Callithrix jacchus: one gene and its partners. The protein of the gene in region 1 interacts with the protein of each later gene in a biochemical or structural test. Links are inferred from orthologs where the notes say so. Each region holds a gene or a part of one and is shown in the gene's direction. Other genes may lie near its edges.

What was found.
Region 2: the proteins of LRRK2 (region 1) and CUEDC1 form a complex in vitro, tested with the Homo sapiens proteins (2 studies listed by BioGRID and IntAct, with this or other methods). The link is inferred for Callithrix jacchus from reciprocal best matches to the Homo sapiens genes LRRK2 and CUEDC1.
Region 3: the proteins of LRRK2 (region 1) and YWHAZ interact on a protein array, tested with the Homo sapiens proteins (3 studies listed by BioGRID and IntAct, with this or other methods). The link is inferred for Callithrix jacchus from reciprocal best matches to the Homo sapiens genes LRRK2 and YWHAZ.
Region 4: the proteins of LRRK2 (region 1) and ANKS4B interact on a protein array, tested with the Homo sapiens proteins (2 studies listed by BioGRID and IntAct, with this or other methods). The link is inferred for Callithrix jacchus from reciprocal best matches to the Homo sapiens genes LRRK2 and ANKS4B.
Region 5: of the proteins of LRRK2 (region 1) and ARFGAP1, one has a biochemical effect on the other in vitro, tested with the Homo sapiens proteins (3 studies listed by BioGRID and IntAct, with this or other methods). The link is inferred for Callithrix jacchus from reciprocal best matches to the Homo sapiens genes LRRK2 and ARFGAP1.
Region 6: the proteins of LRRK2 (region 1) and BAG2 form a complex in vitro, tested with the Homo sapiens proteins (2 studies listed by BioGRID and IntAct, with this or other methods). The link is inferred for Callithrix jacchus from reciprocal best matches to the Homo sapiens genes LRRK2 and BAG2.
Region 7: the proteins of LRRK2 (region 1) and MATK interact on a protein array, tested with the Homo sapiens proteins (2 studies listed by BioGRID and IntAct, with this or other methods). The link is inferred for Callithrix jacchus from reciprocal best matches to the Homo sapiens genes LRRK2 and MATK.

Annotation. Positions count from the first base shown.
Region 1 is NC_133510.1:35,491,794-35,495,898, reverse strand, and holds the start of LRRK2 (leucine-rich repeat serine/threonine-protein kinase 2), read left to right. Parts: upstream 1-1,305; 5' UTR 1,306-1,445; coding exon 1,446-1,596; intron 1,597-1,870; coding exon 1,871-1,956; intron 1,957-4,105. UniProt on the Homo sapiens protein: Serine/threonine-protein kinase which phosphorylates a broad range of proteins involved in multiple processes such as neuronal plasticity, innate immunity, autophagy, and vesicle trafficking.
Region 2 is NC_133506.1:108,462,366-108,465,865, forward strand, and holds part of CUEDC1 (CUE domain-containing protein 1), read left to right. Parts: intron 1-4; coding exon 5-197; intron 198-1,498; coding exon 1,499-1,582; intron 1,583-3,500.
Region 3 is NC_133517.1:96,015,691-96,019,923, forward strand, and holds the start of YWHAZ (14-3-3 protein zeta/delta), read left to right. Parts: upstream 1-1,433; 5' UTR 1,434-1,565; intron 1,566-2,911; exon of another isoform or gene 2,912-3,062; intron 3,063-4,233.
Region 4 is NC_133513.1:22,403,180-22,407,203, forward strand, and holds the start of ANKS4B (ankyrin repeat and SAM domain-containing protein 4B), read left to right. Parts: upstream 1-1,224; 5' UTR 1,225-1,248; coding exon 1,249-1,412; intron 1,413-4,024. UniProt on the Homo sapiens protein: As part of the intermicrovillar adhesion complex/IMAC plays a role in epithelial brush border differentiation, controlling microvilli organization and length. Plays a role in assembly of the complex.
Region 5 is NC_133506.1:58,761,192-58,765,267, forward strand, and holds the start of ARFGAP1 (ADP-ribosylation factor GTPase-activating protein 1), read left to right. Parts: upstream 1-1,276; 5' UTR 1,277-1,374; intron 1,375-1,566; exon of another isoform or gene 1,567-2,531; intron 2,532-3,410; exon of another isoform or gene 3,411-3,614; intron 3,615-4,076. UniProt on the Homo sapiens protein: GTPase-activating protein (GAP) for the ADP ribosylation factor 1 (ARF1). Involved in membrane trafficking and /or vesicle transport.
Region 6 is NC_133505.1:65,540,759-65,544,867, forward strand, and holds the start of BAG2 (BAG family molecular chaperone regulator 2), read left to right. Parts: upstream 1-1,309; 5' UTR 1,310-1,681; coding exon 1,682-1,794; intron 1,795-4,109. UniProt on the Homo sapiens protein: Co-chaperone for HSP70 and HSC70 chaperone proteins. Acts as a nucleotide-exchange factor (NEF) promoting the release of ADP from the HSP70 and HSC70 proteins thereby triggering client/substrate protein release.
Region 7 is NC_133523.1:3,556,268-3,560,548, reverse strand, and holds the start of MATK (megakaryocyte-associated tyrosine-protein kinase), read left to right. Parts: upstream 1-1,481; 5' UTR 1,482-1,746; intron 1,747-2,172; 5' UTR 2,173-2,249; coding exon 2,250-2,255; intron 2,256-2,585; coding exon 2,586-2,807; intron 2,808-3,005; coding exon 3,006-3,065; intron 3,066-3,697; coding exon 3,698-3,811; intron 3,812-3,909; coding exon 3,910-4,025; intron 4,026-4,122; coding exon 4,123-4,281.

The DNA of each region.
Region 1 (4,105 bases):
AAGAACCTCCCACCTGGTGTTTTGAGATTTGCCTAGGTTGAAATTCTGGCTCTCAACTTCCCACCTGGGTGAATCCAGCAAAGCTCTTCACTTATCAACTCCAAATCTCAATTTCCTCGTTAGTGAAAGAAGGATACATTTATCCATTTCAGAATTGTCATCAGGATTGAAATAACATGTGAAAACAAATCTAAAATTGTGAAGTACTAACTTCCAGACCAATCCTCTTCTTTGTAGATGAACTTGAGGACAGACACATCACCTGAAGGGTAGATCATCTTTGCCTAGCCTTGTCTACAATGTTCCTGCTTGGTTGCTCCTAGAAAACACATTACTTAGGTACTTAACAGAACAAACAAACAAACATCAAAAAACAAAAAAACTTGGGGGTGATGGACACTCATAAGTAATTCTGAATACCAAGAGAAAAGTACTTAGGTTTGCTTCTCTCACCTTTTCACCTTTCATTTAATGTACCCTGTTCTTCCATGTTAGTTCTAATAGCTCTGAGAGCTGATTACTTTTCGGGTGTCCCAACCATTAGGATCCTGCCTAGTGCAACTCAAATTTCCAAAAGTTAATTTAGGGGCCTTGTGGTGACCAGAGTTTCAGATAACTCACAGAGAAACAATGTTTATTTCCTCTCCCACGAACAGTCACCACAATCATAAAAAAGACAGTAGCAGGCAAGTTTTGAAAGCTAACCTCTCTCTGTCCTTTGGGGGAAATTACTCGATTCCCTATAGGGGGAACTCTAAAGAGAATGTTTTCCTAAAAGGGGCCATCTGGGCGGTGTCCTGTTTTCCCAACGCCCTGATTTCTATTCTTAGATCTGGAGATAGGCGGCTTTCATTTTTCCTGCTCCCAGTTCCCAGACCTTCTGTGGGGGCCTCAGGGACCCCCGCTGGCGGGTAGCGGAGGGTGGCGCCTCCGCTGCGGGGCTCGGGGCCTGGGGCCTCAGCGGAGTCAGCCGAGTCAGTTTTTTTCCTGCGCGACTCGCGGCCGCGCCGCCGCTGGGGTGGAATCTGGTCCCAGGAGGCGGCGCCAGCCCGGGGTCGGGTTTAGGCAGGCGTGGGGGCCACGGTCACGGTCATCCCGGCCAGGCCCGGCTCCAGCAGCCGCTCGGCCGCCGCCAGGGTTCTGGGAGGCCCGTCGCCTCCGCCGAGACTCGGGCAGGCCCCTGAGCTAGTTTTTGGGGCCTGGGTGGGGGAGGAGGAAGCCGAGCAGGAGGGCTCCGGAGAGGGAGGGCAGCGCGGGGCGGGGAGCCGCCGCCTTCCTCATAAACAGGCGGGCGTGGGTGCAGATGGGGCCCGCGGGAAGCGCTGGCTGCGGGCGGTGAGGTGAGCTGTGCTCGCCCCCGGGAAGCTGTGGCCGGCGCCCCTGCCGGTTCCCGGAGTAGCGGACGTTCGTGCTGGGAGGGCTGCGGGCTGGAAGCAGGGGCCACCATGGCTAGTGGCAGCAGTCAGGTGTGCGAGGAGGACGAGGAAACTCTGAAGAAGTTAATAGTCAGGCTGAACAACGTCCAGGAAGGAAAACAGATAGAAACGCTGGTCCAAATCCTGGAGGATCTGCTGGTGTTCACGTACTCCGAGCACGGTAATCACTTTCAAGGAAACTGCATTTATTTTTGCAAACTTTCACCCCCTCCTCACTTTTGCAAACTTCGTCCTCCTTCCCTTGACGCTGCTCAAACCCGGACTCTTAAGGAGCCTCAAACTCCCATATCCTTTCCTTAGGGCTGAGTAGAGTTGAGAATTCCAGAGAGGTCTCGCGTTCACCTTTTTGACTTTTCTCCCTTTTTCAGACTTAAAGGAAAGGGAGTGCTGTGGATTGTGACTTTGCTTCTTTTCCTCACCCCCTTGTTTTCCAGCCTCCAAGTTATTTCAAGGCAAAAATATCCACGTTCCTCTGTTGATCGTCTTGGACTCGTATATGAGAGTCGCGAGTGTGCAGCAGGTAAAGACATTGTTTTCACTTCAACTCATTCCCCCTTCTATTTGGAAGGAGACGTTTTACTGGCAGTGTTATATACCCGGGAGTTCTTGGTTATTCCCGAAATTTGGCCTGAGGAACCTCTGACAGTGATTTTAAGATGGGAACATTGTTAAATCATTAGACAATGTAAACTGGTAAAGGGCCCCAGTACATGTTCCCTGAGTATCTTTCAGAAGTAACTTTATGAAACCCACAATATGGATAGTGTAGTAGGGGGATAGAAATGGGTTCAGGTTTAGTCCCGTTATTGGCAAGATGAATTCATTAGTGTTTAGACCTATTCCAAGAATCTTCCCAATGTAGGGTGTGTCCTAGATAAAAGGATTATGAACAGTTTGGAAAAGGGGAATAACTAATGGTGATAAAATGCCACTTAGTCACTGGCAAACTCTTGTAGAGCTCAGCACTTTATTTTTAAACTCAAAGACAGATATCTAGCCTTCAGTTAGAGTATACCTTGTAGTCTCTAAAGAAAGTGATGTCTTATGAGTTCCTCATAATTTGCAACTGCTGTCATAAAAAATGCGTGTAAAAGTGAAACTTTCACAATATGTACTATTGGAAACTCAGAAATTTGCTAAATACCTTGGATATATTTTTTAAAGGGGGCCTTAAAATGGTAATTAAGATTGATTTCCAGTCAAAACAAAATTATAAGCCAAGGTGATAACTTCCTTTGGAGCACTTTGAGATTTGGGGAACTGACATCTGTTTTGTCATCTAAGTGTTAAGTTAACTCATGCGGAGAAAGAGAATTGAACTTTGAATGCCACGGAGGTGGAGTCAGCAAGCCAATGTTTCTTAATACTTGCGAGGCTTGAGAGATGTAAGACATGTCAATCTTTAAATCGGTGTGCGTCTGTCTTTATCTTCATGCTTATCTCTGTAGCTAGCTGTATCTAGTCTGGGTGAACCATCTAGCTTCTTTGATACAAGGACATTTATATCTGGAAGAAATATTTTAATTTGTTTTCAACTGTGAAATATTTTCCGTTTGACTATTATAGATTTTCCTGCTGATATCAAAACCAAACCAAGAAAAGATGGAGGCATAATAAAGATGCTGTTCTTTTAAGAGTCAAAGTCGGAATTTTGCCTGTGGAATATGAGTCACTCTTTGGGCACTGGCCTATAGTGCTTCCTGCCCTGCACTCACATCATCCCTTCTTACTTGCCACTGCTTTGGTGTTCAGAAGTGCCTGATTCCGGCCAACTTAATTCCCTCGACTCTGTACTTGATAGAGTCACTCCTGCTTGATAACACTCAGGACAGTCAGAACCTGGGTAGGCTTTGGTCTACAGCGTCCAGATAAAGGCAGTGCTACACTTGAGAACCCAAGAGTGCCTGGAACATACTCACCACCTAATTCTTAATTTTAGAAATTGCTCAAACCTGGGCATACTTGTCTGGAGTAGTTATGAGTGTCACTTAATATTTCTGCCAAGAGGGTACCAGAAGCAAAGTATGCTGGAAAACAAGGAAGAGTCTTTTTAAAAGTAATTAATTAATTCATTTTTGATATATCATAGTTATACATATTTTGGGGTTACATATGATATTTTGATACATGTATACAATGTGTAATGTTCAAATCAGGGTAACTGGAATATCTATCACCTGGAACATTTTTCTTTGTGTTGGCAATATTACAGTTCCTTTCTTCTAGCTATTTTGAAATATGCAATAAATTATTAACTGTAATTTCCCTACTATATTATTGTATATGAACTTAATTGTTTCTATCTAATTATATTTTTTGTGCTGATTAAACCACCTTCTTTCATCCCTCCCATCCTTTCATTCCCAGCCTCTGGTCACCACCATTCTACTCTCTCCCTCAATGATATCCACCTTTTCAGCTCCTACATATGAGTGAGACTATGCAATATTTTATTTCTGCACCTGGCTTATTTAATTTAACCTAATAACCTACAGTCCCACCCAGACTGTTGCAAATGACAGGATTTCATTTTGTATGACTGAATAATGTTCCATTGTGTATGTATACCACATTTTCTTTTATTTTTAATTAAGTAATTAATTTAGAGACAGGGTCTCACTCTGCTTCACTGCAGACTTAAAATCTTGGGCTCAAGTAGTTCTCCTGCC
Region 2 (3,500 bases), on another chromosome or scaffold:
CCAGGGTAATGCTGGGGGCCCCAAGCCTGGGAGTGGAGAGGGAGGTCTGCCGGCCATGGCCGGGTCAGGGCCCCGAGACCAGGAGAGCCGCTGGAAGCAGTACCTGGAGGACGAGAGGATCGCTCTTTTCCTGCAAAATGAGGAGTTCATGAAGGAGCTGCAGCGGAACCGTGACTTCCTCCTCGCCCTGGAGAGAGGTGGGCAGTGCATGCAGCCACTTTTCCCTGGCTGAAGAAGGGAGGTGATGCCGGCTTTAGCCTTGCGGCTCGGGAAAGCACTGAGCTGGGGGCTGAGGGGGCCAGGTGCTTTCTGTCCTGCAAGGCATGACTCCCACCAGGTTATCCCATGGGAGCCCCAGAATTCTGCCAGTGCGGACCTGCGTCACTGGCCACCCCTTTCTCCCTCGGGACTCAGAGGAAGGAGGGTGTACACTCTTAGGCCTTCTTCCCTTTGCACATCTGCTCTGTGCCAGGCACTGGTCTTGGCACAGGACAGCAGGGAAAAGAGCACTGCCCTTCCCCACGGCACCAGCCCCAAGGCAGGCATGATGTGTCTGGAGCTCCGGGAACAGAATGACTGGCTCCATGGGCGCCAGTGCGTGGGAAGCTCCTGAGTGGAAGGCCTTAGAGCAGGGGCTCTGGAACTCTGCGGGTATTTGGGTTGTCTCTGGGTTGGAGACCCTGCTCCCCAGCCTGGCTGCCTTTCCCCTGAGGGGTGGGAGTGTGTTTGGGCTGGAGGAAATGAGAGGGCCGTGGAGCTCTGTTGCTGTGATGGCCATGGCGTGAGAGCTTGTGTGTGTAACGGATGGTGTGTTGGTGGGGAAGGAGCAAGTTGTGCAGGGAGAAGGCTGAGCTGAGGCCCAAGGTCAGCCCCAGCTCTGCAGCAAAGGTGCTGGAAGTCTCAAGGCCTTTCCTTTATTATTTATTTATTTATTTAGAGACACAGTGGCTCATTTCCCTCTTGTGGCCCAGGCTGGAGTGCATTGGCTCGATCTCGGCTCACTGCAACCTCCACCTCCCAGGTTCAAGCGATTCTCTTGCCTCAGCCTCCCAAGTAGCTGGGATTACAGGCACATGCCACCATGCCTGGCTGATTTTTACATTTTTAGTAGAGACGGTGTTTCACCATGTTGGCCAGGCTAGTCTCGAACTCCTGACCTCAGGTGATCCACCCACCTCAGCCTCCCAATGTGCTGAGATTACAGGCGTGATCCCATCACATTTGGCTGGGTCTTTCCTTTTAAATGAGGGTGTTTGGACTCTATAATCTCTCCATGTCCTTTTAATTCTGACATTTTAGATGGTTGTCAAGTAGTAGTTTCTTTCACTGCTGGTTCTTTAAGAGCTGGGAGATGTTGTATGCACTCATATTTTGGGTGGCTGTGTGCTCATGTGATTTTGGGGGCTCAGCCTCTAGCAACCTACCACGTTTCAGCCCAGCCTGCCCCTAGGAGCCCAGGAGCTAACCTCCCTGACTTGTGAATGTGGTCCTTTTCCAGATCGATTGAAATACGAATCCCAGAAATCTAAATCCAGCAGTGTGTCTGTCGGAAATGACTTTGGCTTTCCATCTCCTGTCCCAGGTAACTTTGCCTTCCGGGGACGGACACCTAGAGGCATGGCACAGGGGGCTCACACCCAACTTTGCTTTGCATATTTGGAGTTTGGGAGTAGGGTGAAAAAACAGATTGTGGGAGGGGGCCTGGGCCTTTCAGCAGGCTGGTGGGGCCGCTTCTGCCCCCACCTCCATATCTACTCCATTTAGCAGCCCTGGGGTCTTTCCAGTTCAGCCACGGCTGGGCTTCTGAGCCCACAGCTGTGATCGAGTAACAGGCTGGCTGAACTCTCAACCTGTGCCTTGAGTGTAAGTTAGTCAAGGACACACGGCCGGGCGCAGTGGCTCACACCTGTAATCCCAACGTGAGACCCTTTGTCTCCACAAAAAAAATACAAAAAATTAGCTGGGCATAGTGGCATGTGCTTGTAGTACCACCTACTCAGGAGGCTGAAGTGGGAGGATCACTTGAGCCCAGGAGGTTGAGGCCGAAGTGAGCTGTGATTATGCTACTGCACTCCAGCTTGGGTGACAGAGTGAGACCTTTGTCTTCAAAAAAAAAGGAAAGAAAAGGACACATCATACCCGAAAATGCCCCATGGTGGGACTCAGAGACTTGATAAGTCTTAGTCTCTGCCCTGGGGGATCTTATGGTCTTTTTTTTTGAGACAGAGTCTCGCTTTGTCACCCAGGCTGGAGTGCAGTGCCATGATCTTGGCTTACTGCAGCCTCTACTTCTCAGGTTCAAGCAATTCCCCTGCCTCAGCCTCCTGAGTAACTGGGAGGGACTACAGGCGCACGCCAACATGCCCAGTTAATTTTTTGTATTTTTTTAGTAGAGACGGGGTTTCACCACGCTGGCCAGGCTGGTCTCAAACTCCTGACCTCGCAATCCACCTGCCTCAGCCTCCCAAACAAAGTGTTGGGATTACAGGCATGAGCCACCAGGCCCAGCCAATCTTATGATCTTGTAAGGAGAAATGCCCAGAAAACAGGTAGAAGAAACTAGCAAAGCTGAGGACTTACTGATTTTAGCAAATACATGGAAAAAAAGGAGGGCAGGATCAATCTGGGGAGTTCACTCATTCATTCATGACATAGCTGGAGAATATTTGCCAGCTGTTAGTCCCTGCCCTAGGTGTTGGAGGAAGAGGAGTTTCTAGCTTTTTGTACAAGGTGGTGGGGAGTAAGAATTGCCTGTAGGCCAGGTGCAGTGGCTCACGCCTGTAATCCCAGCACTTTGGGAGGCTAAGGCGGGTGGATCATGAGGTCAGGAGATCAAGACCATTCTGGCCAACAAGGATGGTGAAACCCTATCTCTACTAAAAGTACAAAAATTAGCCGAATGTGGTGGCATGGGCCTGTAGTCCTTTCGGAGGCTGAGGCAGGAGAGTCACTTGGAACCTGGGAGGTAGAGGTTGCTGTGAGTTCAGTCAAGCCACTGCACTCCAGCCTGGGCAACAGAATGAGACTCTGTCACACACACACACACACACACACCAGCCTGGGCAACAGAGTGAGACTCTGCCCTCCCCCCCACACACACACGCAAAGAATTGCCTGTAAAGAGGGCCATGCCCTTCTGCTCAGAAGCCCTAATGGCTGAAGGAGGATTGGATGGGGGTGAGGGAGCAGCAGTGCTACTGGGATTCGCAGACTACTGAGTTGAGCCACAGCTGGAAACGTGGTGCCTGGTCAGTCAGTGCCCCCTGCTCCACACATACATGCTGCCCACCTTGGGGAAAGGCTCTTGCCTGGAATAGACCTTGCATCATGCAGTGGAGTCGAGGGTGGAGGAGCAGAGGGATGGGGGGCTGAGCTGATCCCAGCTTGAAGGGAGAAAATCCTGTGGAACTGACTCATAAGCAGCAGGCTGGGAGCTTAGGCCTCAGCAGATGTGCAGCTGGGAGTTTTAAGCAGGAGCTTCTTGTCCTTGATCCTGAATT
Region 3 (4,233 bases), on another chromosome or scaffold:
CGTTTAAAGAAGGAAGGGGCAGAGATCACACTGTGTTTCTGAACTTCCTTAAGTCAACTGGGCGGAGGCCCTACCGGTTCAGGCACCTGCAATTTCCGCCTTTCTCCTTCCCCCTCTTCCGGGCTCTGTCCCCGCTCGTCGCCCGGCCTGTGGCCCACTCCCATCGCCAGCTGGGGCCCTGGGGACTACGACGTCCTTCAAAGCTTGCTTTTAGAAGACAAAACGGTAATGATAGTCACGTTTTAAATCACTGCAGTGTGAGCTCTTCACGTGAACGCTTTATTTGGGTAGGAAAACCTAGCCTACGAGAAACAGGCCCGTGCGGTCACGCCTGACTGCTCGTCTCCGGGTCAGCTGTGCCAGGACCAGCTCCAGCCCCCCACCGGAGAAGGCGATCCTTTCCCCTCCGCACTCTGGCTTCCCTAAAGCGGCCGCGCCTCCTTCCAGGCCTGACCTCCCGCCGGCTCCGCCCGGCCCGGCCCACCTCGCCCCATCTCGGTGCCCACCCATTGTCCCCTCTCGCTGTCACCGAGCGCAGATCCCGAGCTCCCGATTGGAACACCTCCCCATCACTCAGCCACACTCCCGTTTCCGAGCCATAAAAGGTCTAGGGCCACTTCCCCGGAGCCAGCAGGTAAAGCCGCGGCGGCGTAAGGGAAGCAGGGAGCGGCCGCGCCCCCTGGTCGACCCAGCCGAGCAAGGGGAGCACACCACACACAGCCCTCCCTTGCCTTGCGACCGCGCCCTGTCCTCGCCCCAGGGCCCCCACCCTGCAAGTCCTGATCACAATGCCGGAGCCGCCGACCCACACTCGTCATCCTGCCCCGGGACGGCCCTGGGACAGTGACCACCGCGAAGCACCGAGGGCAGGGCAGGGCGGGCCGGGCCTCGGGGAGGGGGGCGGGGTGGGGGGGATGTGAAAGGTCCCGGATGTTGCTGAACTGGAGCCCCTTCCAGAGGAGTGAGAGGAGTGACTGGCGCAAGCGCAGACCGGCTGAGCGAAAGCTAACGTGGGGGTAGGGGTAGGGAGACAGCTGCCTTCCCACAGGCTCAGAGGTAGAGTGGGCCGGTGGAGGCTGCAGGGGAGAGGACGTCGGGGACCTAAGGGGAAGGCGAGGAGTCGGGGGGATCTGCGTTGGGGAGGAAAAGAAAAACAGAAGCTTCCCGCCTAGGTGCACTCCGGACAAGCGTAGAGGACCTGGGAGCCGAGCCGGGTGGGGGAGTGGCCGTAGCGGGCGAGGACGCGCGCTCCTCCGCTCGCCCTCCAGCGCGGGCGGGCAGGACGCGCGCCGGGGAGCGGCGGTTGCGCGAGGCCCAGATCGCTGTGGGCACTAATCAACGGTTGCCATAGCAGCGTTTGACGTCATCGTGCGTGTGGTGCCCCTGCTGCCGGGGCTGGTGATTGGAGGAAACCCCGTGTCTGCGGAGCGGCTGTAGCCTGTGAGCAGCGAGATCCAGGGACAGAGTCTCAGCCTCGCCGCCGCTGCCGCCGCTGCCGCCGCCGCCGCCGCCCAGAGACTGCTGAGCCCCTGTCCGTCCGCCGCCTCCACCCACTCCGGACACAGGTGAGGAACCCGTCCGCCGCCGCTCCCCGCTCCTCCTGTCCCAGGCCAGCCTTCTGAACGCGTGGGAGCCGTCCTCACCGGGTCCCCTCATCCCCGCTCGCCCCACGGTGGCGGCGCGGGGCTGAGGCGGAGTCTCCCCGGCAGACACGGGCGGCGGCTCCTCTTCCGCTGGGCTCGGGCGGGCGGCTAGCGGCAGCCTCCCGCGCCTGGTTTCCGCGTCGCCGCCCCGGCCCCGATCGGTGCTCGCTCCCCCGTCCCGCTCCCGGGGGTGGGGAGGGCGCCCACACGCGAGATCCCCGGGGATCCCCCGTCGCCTGCTCCCGAAGCCGGACGAGGCATGGCCGGGGCGCCGCCGGCCGCGATTCGTCCCCACCCTTGTTTCTGCTTCTACCCCCGCCCTCGCTGCCCTTCTCGCTTCCGCCCGAGATAATGACTCGGCGGCGGCGGCGGCGGCGGCGGGCATCGCGGGGGCGCAGGTGAGGCCGCCCCCTCCCCTGTCCCTCGGCCGCCCCTTCTTTCCCCTCCCCCGCTCTCCCTCCCCCGCTCTCCCTCCCCCTCGCGCAGCCTCCGCGCTGGGCGCTGCGGTGGCGGGACCCGGCCCTCCCCCACCCCGGGAGGAGGTAGCGCGGCGGGGAGGGGCCGGGGGCCTCGGGGACACAGGCGGGAGGGAAGGGCCTGGCGGAAGCGGACAGGAGCCCGGGCCCGGCCCGGCGGCGGGAAGGGAGCCCACTGCGGGGGGAGGCTGTGGGGTGGGGCTCGCCTGGGACCTGGAGCTGAATTTCCTGGGCTCCGCGGTGGGGGGAAGGGCTTGAATTTTCTCGGTGGGGACGGGGGATGGGGATGGGGATGATTTTCTTTCCTCCTTATGAACCGTCGGGGAAGGCGCGGACTGGGGCTGTGAGCCCAGGTTGGGGTAGAGCGGGGTGCGGATCCCGCGATAGGCTCTCGCGCCGGAGTCACTAGAACTGGAGGGTCCCTCCGCCGCTTCGGGGACGCACAGTGATCCTGAGCAGAGCGGCCGCCGGTGGCCCGCTCGACTGGGTGTGGCTCTCGTCCCCTCCCCCACCTGCAGCTGTCGGGCCCTTAGGGACGGTGCACGCGGGCACCGGCGCTGATCGGTGGCGGGGAGAGCGCTGGGTGGGAAGGCGGGGTGTGTCCGCGGTGAGGCTGCTAGTGGTTCCGCTTCTGCGGGCGTCTCTGGCGTCTCTGCCCCGGGGTCGGGTGGCTTGGCTTCCCCCCACGGCTCGAGCGGGGGCGGGGGCGCCGGCTGCTCCTCCCCCTTGCTCCGGTGGGGGGGGGAATTAACACTCAGCAGTAGGTTGGGCTCCCTGACACAGATCCGCCATGACAAAGGAGGAGAGTCGGGGACCTGAGCGGAGGCTCGGGCTTGGGCGGAGCCTGGAGGGGGGTGGTTGCAGATACGCGGACCCGAGGATTTGCACTTTAAAGTCCGGGTCTGCCCGTTTTCTTTTCACCCTAACCGATGTCTCAAGTCAGGTAAGGGTTAAATGGGTGCGGTGAGTCCTGCCCGCAGTGTAGAGGCGAGGCCTTGGAGCCATCGTTACTGTGTGAGAAACCTTATCCACTTCCTCTTGTACCCAAGTAGTGGGGGAGAGAATCCTTTGTGCTGGTTTGAAATCATTTTTCGTTAGAAGCAGAATTAGCCAGAGAGCGTGTCTCAGTTCCTAAGGGAAAAATTAATAATAGAGAGACCTGAGGAAAAGCATGTCGTCATAAAGGTTAAATAATTTTTATGGGTGAGCCAGTACCTTGCATCCAAATTAGCTAATTACTTGCTTAAAATGTGAGGACATGTTCTCTCATTTGGTTAAAAAAGTATTGTGGGATTTCCCTGGGAAGGTAAAAGGTAATTAATATTCGGGAGTCAGCTCCCAAGGTGGGTGGGTCAGAATAGCTCTTCTGTTCACCTTCTAATTTAAAATATACACTTCATTTATGTGTATATTTTCCTCTAAAGTCGTTTATTCTGCGGTCTCACTGTGTGGATTAGTGTCTTTGTGCTGTTTAGCAACTTTGAAAAGGATGTCCTTCCAGAAAAATGTAGCTGAGGTAAATTGAAAAGGTCTAGGAAACTATGTGAGGGAAGGAGTTAGGTGGGTAGTCACGGCAAAGGACAGCTTGAGTGATAGCATGCAGTTATTGTGACGGTGACAGCTAGAAGCAGGATGCGGCACTTACACATTGCAACTGGAGCCATGACATTGCAAACACTTGTAAATTAAGCACTTCCAATGTGATGTATTTTAGTACTCACAGTAATAGTTGAAGGGCCATGACTCGTGGGTATTTTTAAAGCATGTGGACATACAACACGATAAAGAGTTGAGGCATTAGGGTCGGTTAGATGTTGGTCCTTTGTGGTGGCTTTACAGTAAAAATATCTGAGAACAAGCAGTTTGGCTATTCCTCCCCTAAAGTGTTATGCTATTACGGCTGGCAAATGTTACAGAGATCTAGTAGATTTGGAATGAGGGGAAAACTAAAATTTAATCACTCCTTATTATGAAAGTTAAAAGACATAAATTACATTAAACTGACTTACGATTCTGGAAGTATGATAGAAATCCACATGTTCTGTAAGCAGTACGTTTACAAAAGGAAGAAAAGCTGCTTAATTTTATATCACTTAGTGGTATTGGAATTGAGT
Region 4 (4,024 bases), on another chromosome or scaffold:
ATGCTCAATATCATTAGGGAATTGCAAATTAAAACCACAGTAATATCAGTTCACACCCACTAGATGGCCATACACAAAAAGATAGGCAATAATAAGAGCTGGCAAGGAGGTAGAGAAACTGAAACCCTCATACATTATTGGTGGAAATATGAAGTCATATAACCACTTTGAAAACAGTTTGGCAGCTTCTGAAATCTAAATATAAATTGCCATGTAACCCAGCAGTTTCACTCCTTGATATATATGCAAGGCACATGAAAATATGTGTCCACACAGAGACTTATATATCAGTGTTTATACTAGCATTATTCGTCAATGCTAAAAAATGGAAACAACCCAAATAGTCATCATATTCATCAAATATTGAATGGATGAAGAACATTTGGTATCTTAGGACAGTGGAATATTACTTAGCATGAGGGATCTTTGAGGGTTGATGAAAATTAAGAAAATGGGTATGCAACTCTATAAATGTCCTAAATATCATTGAATTGAATTGTATACATAAAATGGGTAAATTTAGTGGTATTATACCTCAATAAAGCTGTAATTTTTGGAAATAAAAACAGTGAACTAGACTAGCTCTGCATTTTTTATTTTTTGGGTGTTTTTTTTTTTCTTTTTTTTTTTGAGACGGGGTTTTGCTCTTGTTACCCAGGCTGGAGTGCAATGGCGCGATCTCGGCTCACCGCAACCTCCGCCTCCTGGGTTCAGGCAATTCTCCTGCCTCAGCCTCCCTAGTAGCTGGGATTACAGGCATGCGCCACTGTGCCCAGCTAATCTTTTGTATTTTTAGTAGAGATGGGGTTTCACCTTGTTGACCAAGATGGTCTCGATCTCTTGACCTCGTGATCCACCCGTCTCGGCCTCCCAAAGTGCTGGGATTACAGGCTTGAGCCACCGCGCCCGGCCAGCTCTGCATTTTTTAAAGAAATTTCTTACATTCTGTGCCTAGATGACCAGTATTACACTCAAGAAACTAACGGACATAGAAAAATTAAATGTGCCTCAAAACACTCAAGATGAATACAGCAGTCTTCAGTAGTCAACGTCATGGCCATTCCAGAGAGAAAAGGTCCAAGTTCAGTGCCTTGAATCTTGTTGCCTTCCATGAAAGGAAGCTGGAATGAGCTTTGCCCCGGTGACACTTTTCCTTGTCACTGATTAACTAGCGCTATAGGAAGGTTGCTCTGCCAACACCCTGCTCTGCCTGGAGAGATATCTGGCCAGTTCTGGTGAGCAGAAAAAATGTCTACTCGTTACCACCAAGCTGCTAGTGATAGTTATCTGGAACTTCTAAAAGAGGCTACCAAGCGAGATCTAAATCTTTCGGATGAAGATGGCATGACTCCCACTCTCTTAGCAGCCTACCATGGGAACTTGGAAGCCCTAGAGATAATCTGCAGTAGAGGGTAAGTTCAACCCAATGGTTTCAGTTGGAAACAGTGTTCATGGTAGCTTTTTGCAGCAGCAGCAAGAGGCAGGGATGTCAGTACAAATACTTTATCCTCCTTCTAGACTGTCTAAATGATTGGCTTTTTAGAGAAAGGGAGAAAACTACCTAGAGAGGCTCTCTTTTCTCACTGAGGACTGGCACTATGGGAGTGGCTCATCCCTTAGTCACAATCAGAGGAGAGATTCTGAACTGTAAGTGTTATCTGCCTGGAGAAGAGAAGAGATATTTTAATTCTATGCCTTTAAAAATGGTTTTCATGAAATTTATATAGTTTACTCTTTTAAAAGAGGCCGCTGTTTTACTTGGTTTTAAGTTGTCAAATTTGGTTGGAACAAATGACATGTTTTTAGTTTATTTTTTCATCTATGCCATTAAAATTCCAGTCTTTTATTAACCTTCAATCCCAGTACAAGCACATGATTTATTTTTATTTTTTGGTTTTGACACAGAGTCTTTCCCTTTTGAAAGGAGTTGCTGGCTCTACAAGGAATCTTTAGCCTACCTTGACTCTTGTCAGTTCTTTGGCCAGTGGACACACACACACACACACACACACACACACACACCGCTCTTTGCCCAGATTTTAATGAAGTTAGCTAGCTCTTCTGCTTGTTCTGCCTGTTATCAGAGGGCTGTATTGTGCTGGCGACTGTGACTCAAGAAGAGTAAGGAAAGAAAAAAGGACAATGTAAATAAAGGAGCCGAGTGAATCCAATTCCAGTATCTGTTATGTGCCAGCCATTTTGCTGGCCACTGGCACACTGTGATCAAAAAGCCAGCCACAATCCCTGTCATGGTGATCAGATTTGAGAGGGGAAGGCAAGACATCTATGGTGTGTGTGTGTGTGTGCGCGCGCATGTGTGTGTGTGTTTGAGACAGGGTCTCATTCTATCACGCAGGCTGGAGTGCAGTGTTGTGATCATAGCTCACTACAGCCTTGAGCCCCAGGCTCAAGTGATCCTCCCACCTGATCCTCCCGAGTAGCTGGGACTAGAGGTGTGCACCACCATGCCCAGCAATTTTTGTATTTTTTGTAGTGATGGGGTTTTGTCATGTTGCTGAGGATGGTCTTGAACTTATGAGCTCAAGCGATCTGACAGCCTTGGCCTCCAAAAGTGCTGGGATTATACATGTGAGCCACTGTGTCTGGCTTATCTGTGATGTTTGTTACAAAACGGGAAATAGAGGGCACTAAATAACATAGGCATCTATCCCAATCTCAGGGGTGAGGGAAGGCTTCCCTAAGGGAAAAGCATTTAAGCTGGGATTAGGAAAATGAGAACAAGTTGGCCAGATGAAAGAGTGTTTTTCCTAAGACAGAACACTACATTCTGAGAAGTAAAGAAGCTGAATATGGCTGGACATGGCTCAAGTAGCAGTGGGGACAGGGCAAGTTCCCAAGAGATAAGACCAGATCACAGAGAGCCTTGTCAACTCTGGTAAGGACTGTACCCTAAGGGTCCAGGAAGCCATTCCATGTCTTGGGTTTACGCAGGGAAGCCGCCCGAGTAGATTTATGTTTACAAAACTCACTCAGGTAGATGGATAACGGCCGGAGAGAAGGTTTGGGGCTGTTTTCATGGTCGAGATGAGTTGGACTAGGATAGGGGCAGTGGGAATGGGAAAATGCGGTTGGCTTTGAGCGGCAGTTTGGATGTAGAATCAATCATGATTAACTGGATGTGGGCAGATGAAGGAAAAGGAGGGTTAAGGACCCAGGATTTGGATGTTGACACTATTTATTAAAATAGGGGACATTTAGGAGGAACCCAGGATTGGGAGGATTCCTGAGTGTAAGATTGAATGAGGAAGTGCATGAAGCAGGTCTTCCCGTCTCTGCTGTCTGATTTGACTTCCTTTTCTCTGATTGATGTGGAGACACATCGATCCCCATCAGCCAGCCTTCTCCAGTCATCTCACCTCTTCTCCTGCTCAGCCCAGGTTTCCCCAACTTTCTCTATCTACGGAAAGTTTACCTCTTTCCACAAACTGCAAGATGTCAGTTACTTTAAAATCGATGTATTAGTCTATTCTTGCACTGCTATAAGGAAATACCTATGCCTGGGTAATTTATAAAGAAAAGAGGTTTCATTGGCTCATAGTTCTGCAGGCTGCACAGGAAGCATAGTGGCTTCTACTTTTGGGAAGGCTTCAGGAAGCTTCTAATCATGGCAGAAGGAAAAGGCATCTCACATGGCAGAAGCAAGAGCTAGAGAGCGAGGCAGGGAGGTGCTAGAAAACAGATCTAATGAGAACTCACTATCATGAGGACAGTACCAAGGGGGATTCCAGTCCTAAACCATTGATGAGAAATTCACCATCATGATCCAACCACCTCTCACCAGTCCCTACTTCCAACATGAGGGATTACAATTTTATTTGAGATTTGTTCCCCTCACAGAGATTGTTCAGATCTCACAGATCTAAACCATATCAATCAGTGAGTTTGTCCTCCTAGAAGAGGGTTTGGGGGTCTTCTTCAACAGCAGAGAGCTCTTGTTCCATTTGAGGACCATTTTGAATAGTAATGGTTAGGTGTTCTCTCTCTCTCCTTTGAAAGCCTGAAA
Region 5 (4,076 bases), on another chromosome or scaffold:
TCAGGTGACCCGCCTGCCTCAGCCTCCCAAAGTGTTGGGATCACAGGTGTGAGCCACCACATCTGGCCACTTAGCATGTTTTAATAACGTTCCATACACATCCAACACCCAGAAATTTCACTTCTAGGTAATTACTCAAGAGGAAGAAAAAATATGCTACAAAAAGCCCTTTCAAGACAGCTTTATTCATACTAACCAAAACATAGAAACGACCCCAGTGTCCAAAGTGTGAACGAATGAAGGAATGTGACGTATTTTCCATGGCGTGCTACTTGGCAATAAAAAGGAACCAGTTACGATGCGTGCGACGTGGCTGAATCTCAGAACCTCGTGTTAAGGGAAAGAAGCACCACCAAAGTGTATTTTGCACGACTCTATTTGTGTGATATTCCAGAACAGGCAAAACTAAGACATGGAGATGTTGGAATCAGAAGAGTGGCTGCCTCTGTTGGGAATATCTATAACTGACCAGGGTAGATGTTACCTGGGGATATGCATTTGTCAAAACTCCTTGACCTGTACGTTTTTCGGTGTTGCAGCTTATACCACAATACAAATGTTTATTCTCCATCATTTCAAAGGTCAGCCAAATCAAGGAGAAATATGTGAAATGCACAGAAAAGCACAAAAACAAAACAAAAAATTACCTGCAATTAACCTCCCACGGGTGACCGCTTTTCCGGCTTTGCACCTTCCTAATGCAGACTCGGGTCCCATCACTGCACACCCGCGCCCTGGGGCATCTGCGTGGCAGGGGCGGGGGACCGCGGTCCTTTCAACGCCGCCGCCTCCCGCCAGGGCCCAAAGGCTCGGCTGGTGGGAGACTCAGACCCAAGTGCGGGAGCACGGGCCCCAGGACGCACCCCCACCCCCATGCCAGTCCCCCGTCCCCTGCTACCCACTGCCCGTGGCCCTCGCCTCCCTGCCTGTCGCCCGCTGCCCCTGGTCCTCCTACCCCCGTTCCCCTGCTGCCCCCTCCCCAGAGCCCCCGCTCCAGGCCCCTACTCGCCCCTCCCTCGTTGTCGGCCCCGGTGAACGCGCCACCCCGGAACCACCCCAGCTTTCTTTCGCGGACGCACGGACTCATCTCCCGCCTGGCCTCCCCCACGGCCACAGCTACCAGCTGCGCTCCGGGGCCCAGGGAGGGGATGGACGGCGCGTCTGCGCGTCTCTATGGCGACCGGGCGGCTGCGCGCCTCGAAGGCTGGGGCCTGAGGCGGAAGTCCCGCCCCGCCGGCTCCCGCGAGACCTTGCGAGCGTGACGTAGCCGGAAGTTGGTGGCGGCTTGTGGGCGCCCGGGCGCGTCCCCGTTACAGTGCGGCGGCTCGACCCCGGCTCTGGCCTGACCCCGCGGCCCTGTCCGCCTCCTGCCAGGTAAGCGCGCGGCTTGGCGGCGCGGGCGCGGGCTCGGCCTGAGGCCCCGGCTCCCGCGGCGTTGGCCCCGGCGTTCGCGGGCAGACCTCCCCCCCACGGCCGCCCCCGCCCGGACCCCGCTCAGCCCCGAGGCTGCTGCCCAGAGCTTGGCGGCGCCCACTCCGCGGTCCCCCGGTCCGTTCGGCGCTGGGCGGCTGGTCCTCCTCGCGCGGACGCCCCGCTGCAGCCGCCTCTCCCCGGTGCCGCCCCGAGTCCCCCGCGCCCTCTTCCCTCCGAAGCTGCCCTCCACCCGCACCCCGGATCTGGAATCCCCCACCGGTTACGCGAGTCCAGAGGATCCCTGCCCGCTTAGGGCGCGAGCAGGACCCTGCCCTGTCCCCTTCAACCCCCTCTTCCCGAGCTCCTTAGGACCCAGGACTGGGCCTGGGCTTCCACCCCTTAAGGAGTGAGGGTTCTGCCCGGTGTCATCAGAAGTGGGGTGTTGGTGAGCCCACTGTCGTCAGAAACGGCAGCCTCAGCTCGCGTGGTTTCCTCTTTACCCTTTGACGTGGCTGCCTGTCTTAAGGGAGAGAGAAGAAACCAGGAAGGGGCTTTTAAAACTGTTTTCACTTTCTGTGGGTTTGGAAGAACTATGCTTCGTGTCTGTTCTTTTAAACGCCTTAATTACAGGCCACCAGTTCTAAGAAGTAACTCTGCTCATTTTTTGCAGGTCTGATTAATATTCCTGCCACGCTCTGTTAATTTTAACAGCAAAGTTTGGCTCTAAAGTGACCCAGGGCATCGAAGCTGTTAGCTTTGTTTAGGCATCCCTTTCTGGGGCCGCATCCCTCTCAGAGTTGAGAAGTTGTCTGTTCTTTAGGAGAAGGGGCTGCTGTTCTTAGACGTGGGTCCTTAGGTGCTTCAGACTCAGCATTTCTGCCTGTCACTGTGTCACAGCCCTAGGGCTTGAGCAGTGTTCTTAAGCATCCCTTTTGACCTCACCTATTGCGAGTGTTCCAGCTTAACGGATCCTGAGTTTTGAAGTCTCAGTGGCTTCCGAACTAATACAAAGTGTCCTCGCTGGGTTTGATGTTTACTGAAGTTATGTGCACTTGCAGGAGGAGGGATAGTTTTACATCTTGGTTCAGGTGTTAAGAGTTCCTGGATTATTTTTCAAGGTAAACCATATTGGGCTTTTGAAGGTTAGGAGGTATTTGTTTTTGTGTTATTAACTTTAACATTTCAGGTAACTGGGGCTCGTGAATACCCAAAATTAGTCACATAGAGGAGTTACTTTTAAATCCAAGGGAAGTCCTTTATTTTTTGCACATTTTCTCCCTGCAGTAGTCCTGTGAGTATCCTGTGTATTTTACAGTTAGAAATTGAAGGAGCGTCTCATGGTTCTGACTTTTGTGTGCCCGTGTCTGTTGGCCAATACATGAGCCCCTGAGAGCAGGCCTGGTGCTGTGGGAAGGAGCGAGTGTGGAGACCCAGAGCGGCCTCGTCCTGCTCTGGTGGCTCACCTCCTCTGCATGGGCCGGCTTCTGCGTGTGCCTGCCGTGAGAAGAATGTGTCCCAACGGCCTTATAAGCTCAGCCCCGCTACCCTTGGTGCCAGGACCTCTCCAACCTGGCTTAGCCCCTTTCCATCTTCAGTGCTGTGTTCGGGTGGAAGCTCAGTTTGATGACAGTTTCGCCTGAATGAGTCATGCTGGGATCCAAGTCTATGCGGTCGGGAGTAAGCTTTCAGACCTGCCTCATGCTCTGGTTCCTGGGCGCTCTCACACCAGGCACAGAGCATTACGGAGTAGAAGTCAGCCCAGGGTGAACTTTTGGCTTTGTTTTGATGAACTGCAGAAAACATATTTATTTCCTGACTTTGAGTGGGTTTAAAGTAGGTGCTGGTGAATACTAGGAGTCATGGGCTTCAGAATTCAGGAACTTTGACCGTGTGGAGAGTTGGGACACTCCCCCCTCCCAGTGAATACCTTGTTTCTGCATACTTATGATGAGAAATGAAATATAGGACAGAGATTTTTCTTTTTTTCTTTTTTTAAGCTTCACCTCAACATAAATTTCCACCTACACCGTGAGTAGGAAAGCTGGTCTACACAGTCCTCTTAAATACAGTGGAGGAGGAAAGGGCTGGCGCTGGAAAGGGCAGCCGTGCACACGTGTAGTTTCCTGTGGCTTACAGAGCGCTGTGTGTTCTCTGTGTAGTGAGGTAGAGGGAACAGCACACAGCTCCGTTCTTATTGAGAGGTGGGTGAGGCTCAGCGCAGTGAGGCGTGGGCGCGCGGGGTGCAAGCCTGCTTCCTCCAGGCTGGACTGTCTCTGCAGCCTGCCCATTGGGGGTGTATTCGGGGCCACTGGGTCATTCTCGTTGGACACTGGGGTTGGTTCCACTCCTTCCTCCAGCTTTGAATCTCAGCTGTATCGGTTTTCCCGGCCCTGAATTGGATGGGCCACCAGCGGAAGTTGTGCTTTGTAGTTAGGAGAGCTGCAGAGACATCCGCAGGTTTTCTCTTCAGCCCGAGCCTGGTTGCTGCTATCCCACTAGGGTCCCTGTGAGCCACCGCGGCGGGGCTGATGGTCCGAAGCCACTCTCTCTGTCCTGCTGCAGCCACACTGCTGCCCCCCCCAGGACTCGGAATGGCCCCAGAAGGACCCACCTGCAGGTCCCCCAGCAGGCCAGCTGTTCCCACACTGTGGGCAAGGGCACTG
Region 6 (4,109 bases), on another chromosome or scaffold:
TAGTACTCCAAGTGCAATCTTACCAGGTAGCTTGAACCAGAATGGTGGGGTATAATTGGGAAGAATCTAGATAGATTCTGAAGGTAAAATTGATGGGATTTACTAATAGGCTGGATCTAGGTAGGCTATGAGAGAAAAAGAGTTCAGGATGATTCCAAAGTCACTTGATAGGCTTTCAGACCACTCACAAAATGTGTTTTGATTTCGTTTGTGTCATGACAGAGTATTTTTAATAAGGTCAAATAATCCCCTACCCCAATAGTTAATTAGGATTTAGAATGAGTTCAGAGGGAATTGGGATCCAGCCTTAAGGGCTTCAACTCTGTTCAAGTATTTAAACTGCTTTGATCTCTTTGATTAAAGGTGGTGGTTCAACTTTAAACTATTATTATCTATCATTTTCTGTGCCTTGTAGATTTTCATCCTTGCAATGAGAGGCATAGAGCTATCAGGAGAGGGACCAAAGCCTCACTTTTTAAGTAGTCCAGTCTTTATACTCTCAGCTCTACTCCATCTTTTGTCAACTACAGCTCATGCCTGACCTAGAGGCCTTCTGCATCTTTTTGTTAACAGAAGATTTTTAAAAGTTGAAGACTCCTTAATACCAATTATTTCACTCAGAAGTATTATCATTATTATTTTTTGAGACAAAGTCTCGCCCTGTCGCCCTGGCTGGTGTGAAGCAGTTGGCGAGATCTTGGTTCACTTAACAGGCATAATTTTAATAGCAAAAATTAAAAACCCCTTCATTAAGCCCAGCGTGTAATCCAGCACTTTGGGAGGCTGAGGTGGGTGGACCGATGGAACCCAGGAGGTCAGGGCTGCACTAAGTCGTGATCGTGCCACTGTACTCCAACCTGGGTGACAGACCCAGTCTCAAATTCAAAATAGAATGGTAAAAATGAAATATATTCACCTTGCTTCCCACATCTAGCTAGACAAGGAGAGATGGAATAGCTTTTTCTTTTTCAAAGCTTCAGTTGCTGTAGGTGCTTTCATTACTCATCTCAGGAAAGAGTGGTAATAGGAAGGTCAGGTGCGTGTAGTCTGCCTAGAAGCTGTACTGCCTTGTGTTTTACATAAGGCCGTTTTCTCCCCATATCACAGGACTCAAATGTCGTTGTTCTTGCTTTGAATTATGGGTGCTGGGAGAAACTAAACGAACCCATTACTGAGCAATACACCCACAGCCCATCGACCGATAGGAACCTTCGCGTGGGGGGAGTTGGTTACTTTTAGTCTGCACGGAGAGGCGGGGCCTCGCAGGGCGGAGCTGGGGGTGGTCTGTGGGTCCGCGCGCGCTTCGGGTAGTTCCTGGGTCTGAGGAGCTGACGAGACAAGCGGCAGACCCGGCAGACCACATTAAGCGCTACGTCTCTGCGTGCGCCCCTCCTGGCGCCTCAGAGCCTTGCGCTCGTGGTCCGCGCACCTCTTCCTCCGGCCGCGGCTGCTCCCTCGCTGGCCCGGCATCCCCGAGCCCCGCGGGCGCCGCGCCTGCCCTTGTTTGGCCACGCGGCAGCCGCGGTGTTAGCGGGTCCTCTAGGGTTGCTCCCGCGGGCGTCAGAGGCGGGGAGGGCGGGCTCCCGCGTAGTGACGGCAGCGCTTGCAGCCGCAGGAGCGCTCCATTCGCCGCCGCCGGAGGGGCCGGTGACCTCTCGGCTGCCCCACGTCAGAAGCTTAGATGGCTCAAGCGAAGATTAACGCTAAAGCCAACGAGGGGCGCTTCTGCCGCTCCTCCTCCATGGCCGACCGCTCCAGCCGCCTGTTGGAGAGCCTGGACCAGCTGGAGCTCAGGTGAGCGGCGGGCTGGCGGGCTAGCGGGCTGACGGGCGGGCGGTCTCGGGCGTCCTGCTAGCTGCGCCGCGGTTCGCGGACGGAGGCCGTGTGTGGCTGGCCGGGGTCTGGGGCACAGTGAGGCGGCGGCCGCAGAAGTTTCCTGTTGAGATTTGTGGTGGATGGACGTGGAGCAGTTTTGTTTCTCGGATTTTCTCCCCTAGTCCGACAGAGGACGCGTTCGATTTAAGCTAAACCTGTGAGGGCGTAATCAGTGGCCACACTCTGACTTACCTGGGTGTTGGAGAGTGGGAAAAAAAATCAGAGGATATAAAAGTCCCGGTGAGATTCCATGCGATTAAGGACTGTGGCAGCCGGGGTCTGCAGAACTTCTAGAACCTTCTGTGTGGCCCCAGATGTTTTTAACTTACTCTTTTCCCGTATGCGTTTTTAAAGGAGGCAGCAGTTTACAGTGGCCCTTCACGTGAAATTAAGTTTCCCTGCTTCAGAGCACTTCGGAGCAAAAATGGAAAAAAACAAAACCAACCCCGCGATCCATTGAGAGCAGATTAGAGAGGGGTGAGGGGTGGGTGGTAGGGTTACTGGGTGTTTAGTGCAGTGAAGACGTTGCTGCCTCCCCTGTCTCCCCTAACCTCGCTGGCGGTATTCAGCCGCTCCGTTAGTTTCTCCGTACTGGGCACCTCCCTGCATGGAAGACTAAGTGATAGTCTCTGGCCTGAAAGCATGAAAAGGTAGTTTTCTCCTTTTCTTGCTTAAGATTTTATTAGGTAATATAGAAGTAGACGTGCGTAGAATTTCGAAACAATTTAATGTTAATAGATTTATGGAAGGACTTTAACGGTGTATTGAAAAGTTTTATATACTTCCTGTTGAATGTTTGTTTCAAGTTCCTGTGAAATTTTTGTGAACAAGTGTAGTTAAAAGAAAATCGTGTTAGGCACCTGCAATCCCCTGAATCTGTACACAGGAGTTGGTTCCATCTTTTTCTCTAGGTTGTGCATGAGCAGAGGCATGTGAGCCAAAAAGTTGGGGAAACACTCTGTGTGTGTCTTTATCTCCCTCCATTAGTATACCCAAGCATGAAGTGTCCGTTTGCCGAGAAAATACTTCAATAACCACGGTATCTCTTAACTAGTGAGGCACTGTTACTGTTACTACTGGGAGAAAAGAGCCAGAGAGGGAGAGATTCTCCACTCACGATAATTTCATGGATGGCAGCAGAGAAACCTCAGCCCTACGCCGGGTTTTGGGGTTCCACTCAGAATTAGGCAAGTGGAAGAGAGAAGTAATGCTTCCTCATGGATTTTCTATGTACTAGCAAACCTGACCCATTCCACTCCCAGGAAAAGTAGAGCGAAAGCAGAAATTAGTGGCTTCAGTTACTTGAAGTCCCTCCAACTGATAATGTTTCTCCTTAGGGAGCCACGTAACAAGTAACCCACACTTCTCCATATCTTAAGAATGTTAAGGGCATGTTCTCAACCACTTCACTCTGGCTCTCCCTTAGAAAGAAAAGATTTTTTCCTAAAGGAATAGGGAGGATGCTACTCCACCCTGCCTTCCTTCAAGCGGAGTCATTGTCCTCCAACTTGAAATGCCTCACATGTGGTAGGTACAAAAGCACTCTGAAGTGCTCCTCTTTAAAATAAAGCCTCAGGTTTTGAAGATTATTATATTCTAATGTTTGATTAATGTAAAATGAATTCTGATTACTGCACATCACTGATTAAATTACAACTTGCTTAATATTTGAGTTGAGAAAAGTCTGATTAATATGTGGCTGTTTGTTTCAAGGCCTTTTTTTTTTAGTAGTTCTAGACTTTTGTAGGCTTTTTTTCTTCTTTTTAAAAAAGTAGTACTGGCTGAAAAGGATTTCTGAAGGTAAGCAAAAATAGAGAAAAAATGCTAATACTGATCCTATTAAAGTTTTTTTGAAACCACATGGGCAATGGCACAGAACACTACACTATTAAAACGAGAATCATGAGTACAACAAGGTTGATTTTTAAAAGAAACTAGGAAACTCTTATGTAATTTTGCTCTAGTAGTTTGATTGTATGTTGAGTAATAAAGTAGTGTAACTGGGTAGAATAAAACCTTACAGTTTGTACTTAGCTGTGTGCACTTAACGTTCCCTAACCACATTGGTCCTATCAATTGAGTAAGAAATTTCTTCCCTATGAAACTGAAAATAGGATTATGCCAAATGTTTTGTGACCTGGAGTATGAACTGACCTACATGATATTTAAAATGTTTGACAGCAGTTCTACTAACTGTTAAAGGTTTTTATTTATCTCTAATGGAATTTATCTAA
Region 7 (4,281 bases), on another chromosome or scaffold:
TTACAGGCGTGAGCCACTGGGCCCAGCCTGTAGGTGGGATTAAATCGTTGCTGTTGAGATGAGAGGGCATCCTGGATGGTCCGGCGTAAAATATATAATAAAATGCATATAATGTAATATAACGTAACATGTAATCGTGTGGTTTGGCCAGGCGCTGTGGTGTGCACCTGTAGTCCCAGCAAAGGGGGGCTTAGCAGGAGGATCGCTTGAGCCCAGGAGTTTGAGGCCAGGCTGGGCGACCCAGAGAGACCTCATCTCTAATAATAACAATGTAGTTGCCTGGTCTGCTGCGGAGGTCCCTTAACACAGCTCTTCTGTAATTCTCTTGTATCTGGGCCTCTGCTCCCCCAAAATCATGCGACGCCCCCAAGTCCAGACACTTACCCTTTTGGGGTAACGGAAGGTTAAAGATGGGCGCAGGCCACCTGGGTGTCTTGGTTCATTGCCCTCCTGAGATGAGCTTGATCTTTGTTTCAGAGGACTCATCCCTTAGAAAGGAGATAAGGTGCCAGGTGGGGTGACTCACGCCTGTCATCCCAGCCTTTGGGAGGCCGAGGTGGGAGGATCGCTTGATCTCAGGAGTCCAAAACCAGCCTGGGCAACAAAGTGAAACTTCATGTCTACGAAAAGTTGGAAGAAAAAAAATTACCCTATAGTCCCAGGTACTCCCGAGGCTGAGGCAGGAGGTGGGCTTGAGCCCAGGTGGTCAAGGCTGTAATTAGCTATGATCATGCCACTGCACTCCAGCCTGAGGGACAGGGACAGAGGGAGTCCCTGTGTCAAAAAAATTTTTAAAAAGATAAGGACCTCCATTGGGTGAAAGTGGATCGGGTGGTTTGGTCACCGGAACCACGAAGCCATCCCTAGGGGCAGGGCCCTGTCCACCAAGACCACGTGAGCTCAAACACTTCTATGAGGCAGAAGCGGATGGGGCCCCCGCCCTCCCTATGGAGGAGGCAATCCCGGCTGGAAAATGGGTAGCTCCTGCCTCTGGGCAGAGCCAGGACCCCCCAACTCCCAGAGCCCTCTTTTGCCCTCCAAGGAGGGCTGGTTTGAGAAGTTTGCATCCGGATGGCTGCAGCTCCGGAGGATGCTTTCTGTTACCCAGTTTTCCCTTAATGTTGATGATGATGACAATGATTCCAGAGTGGCTGACATTTTGGGGGGCTCTTTTTTGGTCAACCACAAAGAGCTCTCTGAGGCGCTGGGTGCTAAAATAGGCAGCACGGACGGAGGTGAAATTGCAGAGTGATAAGGGCCCTCTGGGTGTCCGGGCTGGGCGCCTTGCTTACCTCCCCCGACGGGCAGCTCACTCTCCCTCAGCCCCCAGCCCCTGCTCCCAAGAGCCCCGCTTCCCAGGGTGGGTGGGGGGCGCACGCCAGAAAGATCCAGGTTAGCGCCAGGCATGGAGCCCGCGTGCGCCCCGGGACCCCGCCCGGGGCGCTCGAGAGGCTCCCGGGACCGCGGGGGCGGGGCGGGGAGGGGCCGGCGGCGGCGGCGGAGGCCGCGGCGCGCGGCGCGTGGAGCAGACCGCAGTGCGGCCGGCGCTAGGACCCGTGGGGGCCTCCCAGGCCGCGGCGCTTCCCGCTTACCCCCACTCCCGACCCTCCTTCGCCCCCAAAATGAGGAAACGGAGCAACTCGCTCCAAGTTGTGCAGACGGGACCGCCTCGGGGTGCGCAGCCGGCTCGCGGAGGCCCTCCTGGGGGCGGACGCGGGGCGCGGCCCGGGAGCGCACCCTGAGCAGGTGAGCGTGTCCGCGGGGAGAGGTGGGGACACTCTGAGGCCGTGGGGGAAACCCCGAGGGCTCGGGGCGGGGGTGGGCCCGGGACGTGCGCAGGAAGGGCCGGTGTGCGCGCGAGTGTGCGCGTCCCGGGCGCGCGGCGATCGGACCGGTGTGGCGGTGGGGGGGTTCCCGGGTGCGGGTGTGCGCGGCTGCGAGACCCGGGCGTGTGTACCCGCGCGTCCACGTGGAGGGCTGTGCGCGTGTGTGGCCGAGATGCGTGTGCGCGGCCCTGCGTGGCGCTCTGCGTGCCTGGGTCGCCCGGCGCTGGCGCCCAGGTGTTGCAGTGTGGGGTGGCTGTGTGTGTGCCGGGGGCTGAGGACAGGTGCGCACGTTCCCGGGTGTGGAGCGCCTGGGCGCGCGGGGACGTGTGCACACACCTGTTTCCAGGTGGACGGGGTCCTTTGCTTATCTGCGCGCACCTGCGTCCGAGCCCCGTGCGTTTCTGTGCGTGTACATGCATCTGTATGCGTGTGAGTACACGTGGGACTGGAGGACTTCAGGGGAGGCGCATATTGGAGGGGCTGAGACTCACCCCCCCAACACCCTCCACTTCCCATCGACCAGCAGTTGGGGAGTTGAGGGAGGCAGGGAGGGTCCCCCACTCCTACAGCAATGACCGACGTTGTGTGTCTGTCCTGGGTTTGTTGGGGGGCGATCAGAGAGGCTCAGCCGGTGGCCAGAGGAGCCCAGTAGGGCTGCAGGACCCGCCCCTGGCCCCACCTCCACCCCAGGGTCAGAGATTCTTGGGAATGACCTTGACTCATCCCTATCTCCCCACCCTGCCTCTGCCTACTTCCCAGAAAAGAGGAAGAACTAGGCTGATCCAGTGGCATCCAGCTCTCTGCCTCCTGTGCCAGCCACCCAGCCTGTGGCAGGCCATTCCCAGCGCCCCCAACTGTGGCCACTTGCTCAGTGCGCCTCTCCCCTGGCTCAGTTTACCTCTGGGGGCGATGGCGGGGCAAGGCTCCCTGGTTTCCTGGCAGGCATTTCATGGCTGTGATTCTGCTAAGGAACTTGCCCGGGTAAAGATCACCTCCCAGAAGGGGCTGGGGAGCCAGCTCTGGGTCCCACCCGGGATGCCTCTGTGGGGGCTCTCTCTGCCCCCCCCCCGCCCCGCCCTCCCCGCCGTCATCCCCACCTGGCCTGGGGAGGAAGTGGTAGGAACTGGACCCTGGGTCCCAGTCCAGCTCCCTCCCATCTGGACTCTGCCCTTTCCCCAGGTGAGCCCCTGCTTCCTCCGAGCCTGGCATCCCCCTCCCGTCTCAGCCAGGATGCCAGCGGTGAGTGTGTCCAGCCGGTTCCTCTGGGGGGCTGTCCTCTCTGCCCCCATTCCCCTTGCCGGACTCTGCCTGGTCTTTCTCAGTCACTTCGGCATCCTGACCTTCTGTCCCCGGCCTCCCCTGTTTGTGACCCTTTTTTTTTTTTTTTTGAGACACAGTCCCACTCTGTCACCCAGGCTGGAGTGCAATGGCGCAATCTCAGCTCACTGCAACCTCCAATTCCTGGGTGTAAGCAGTTCCCTTGCCTCAGCCTCCCAAGTAGCTGGGATTACAAGTGACCGCCAGAACTCCCAGCTAATTTTTTTGTATTTTTAGTAGAGACAGGGTATCTCCATGTTGGCCAGGCTTGTCTCAAACTCCTGACCTCAGGCGATCCACCCATCTCGGCCTCCCAAAGTGCTGGGATTACAGGTGTGAGCCACCGCGCCCCGCCTCTGTTTGTGACTCTACGATTTCTTTCTGTGAGCCCCGCTCTCCCCGGCTCCCTCCTTCCCCGGTGTCTGCCTGTTTTCTCTGCCTCTCTGCTCTTTCCCAGTCTCCATGCCTTTCCCCCTCCTGTCCTCTCTCGCCTCCTGTGCCTCTGCTCCCCACATCTCTGTGATGTCCCCCCTCCCCCCCGGCCCCCTCTGCAGAGGCGCTGGACCCCGGGCACCCAGTGTATCACTAAATGCGAGCACACCCGCCCCAAGCCGGGGGAGCTGGCCTTCCGCAAGGGAGACGTGGTCACCATCCTGGAGGCCTGCGAGGTGAGCGGCAGGTGGTGGGCATGGGTGCTTGGGGATGGGGGCTCCCCCAGGACCCCCACCCCACCCGCCACACCAACCCTGTGCTTCCTCCCTGGCAGAACAAGAGCTGGTACCGCGCCAAGCACCACACCAGCGGGCAAGAGGGGCTGCTGGCGGCCGGGGCGCTGCGGGAGCGGGAGGCCCTCTCCGCGGACCCCAAGCTCAGCCTCATGCCGTGAGTGGGTGGGACGGGGGGCCTGGGGTGGGGGGGCAGGAGGTGACCCCCTGCCCGGTCCACGGCCTGGCCTGACCCACCCCTTCTGTGGCCACAGGTGGTTCCACGGGAAGATCTCCGGCCAGGAGGCAGTCCAGCAGCTGCAGCCGCCCGAGGACGGGCTGTTCCTGGTGCGAGAGTCCGTGCGCCACCCCGGCGACTATGTCCTGTGCGTGAGCTTTGGCCGCGACGTCATCCACTACCGCGTGCTGCACCG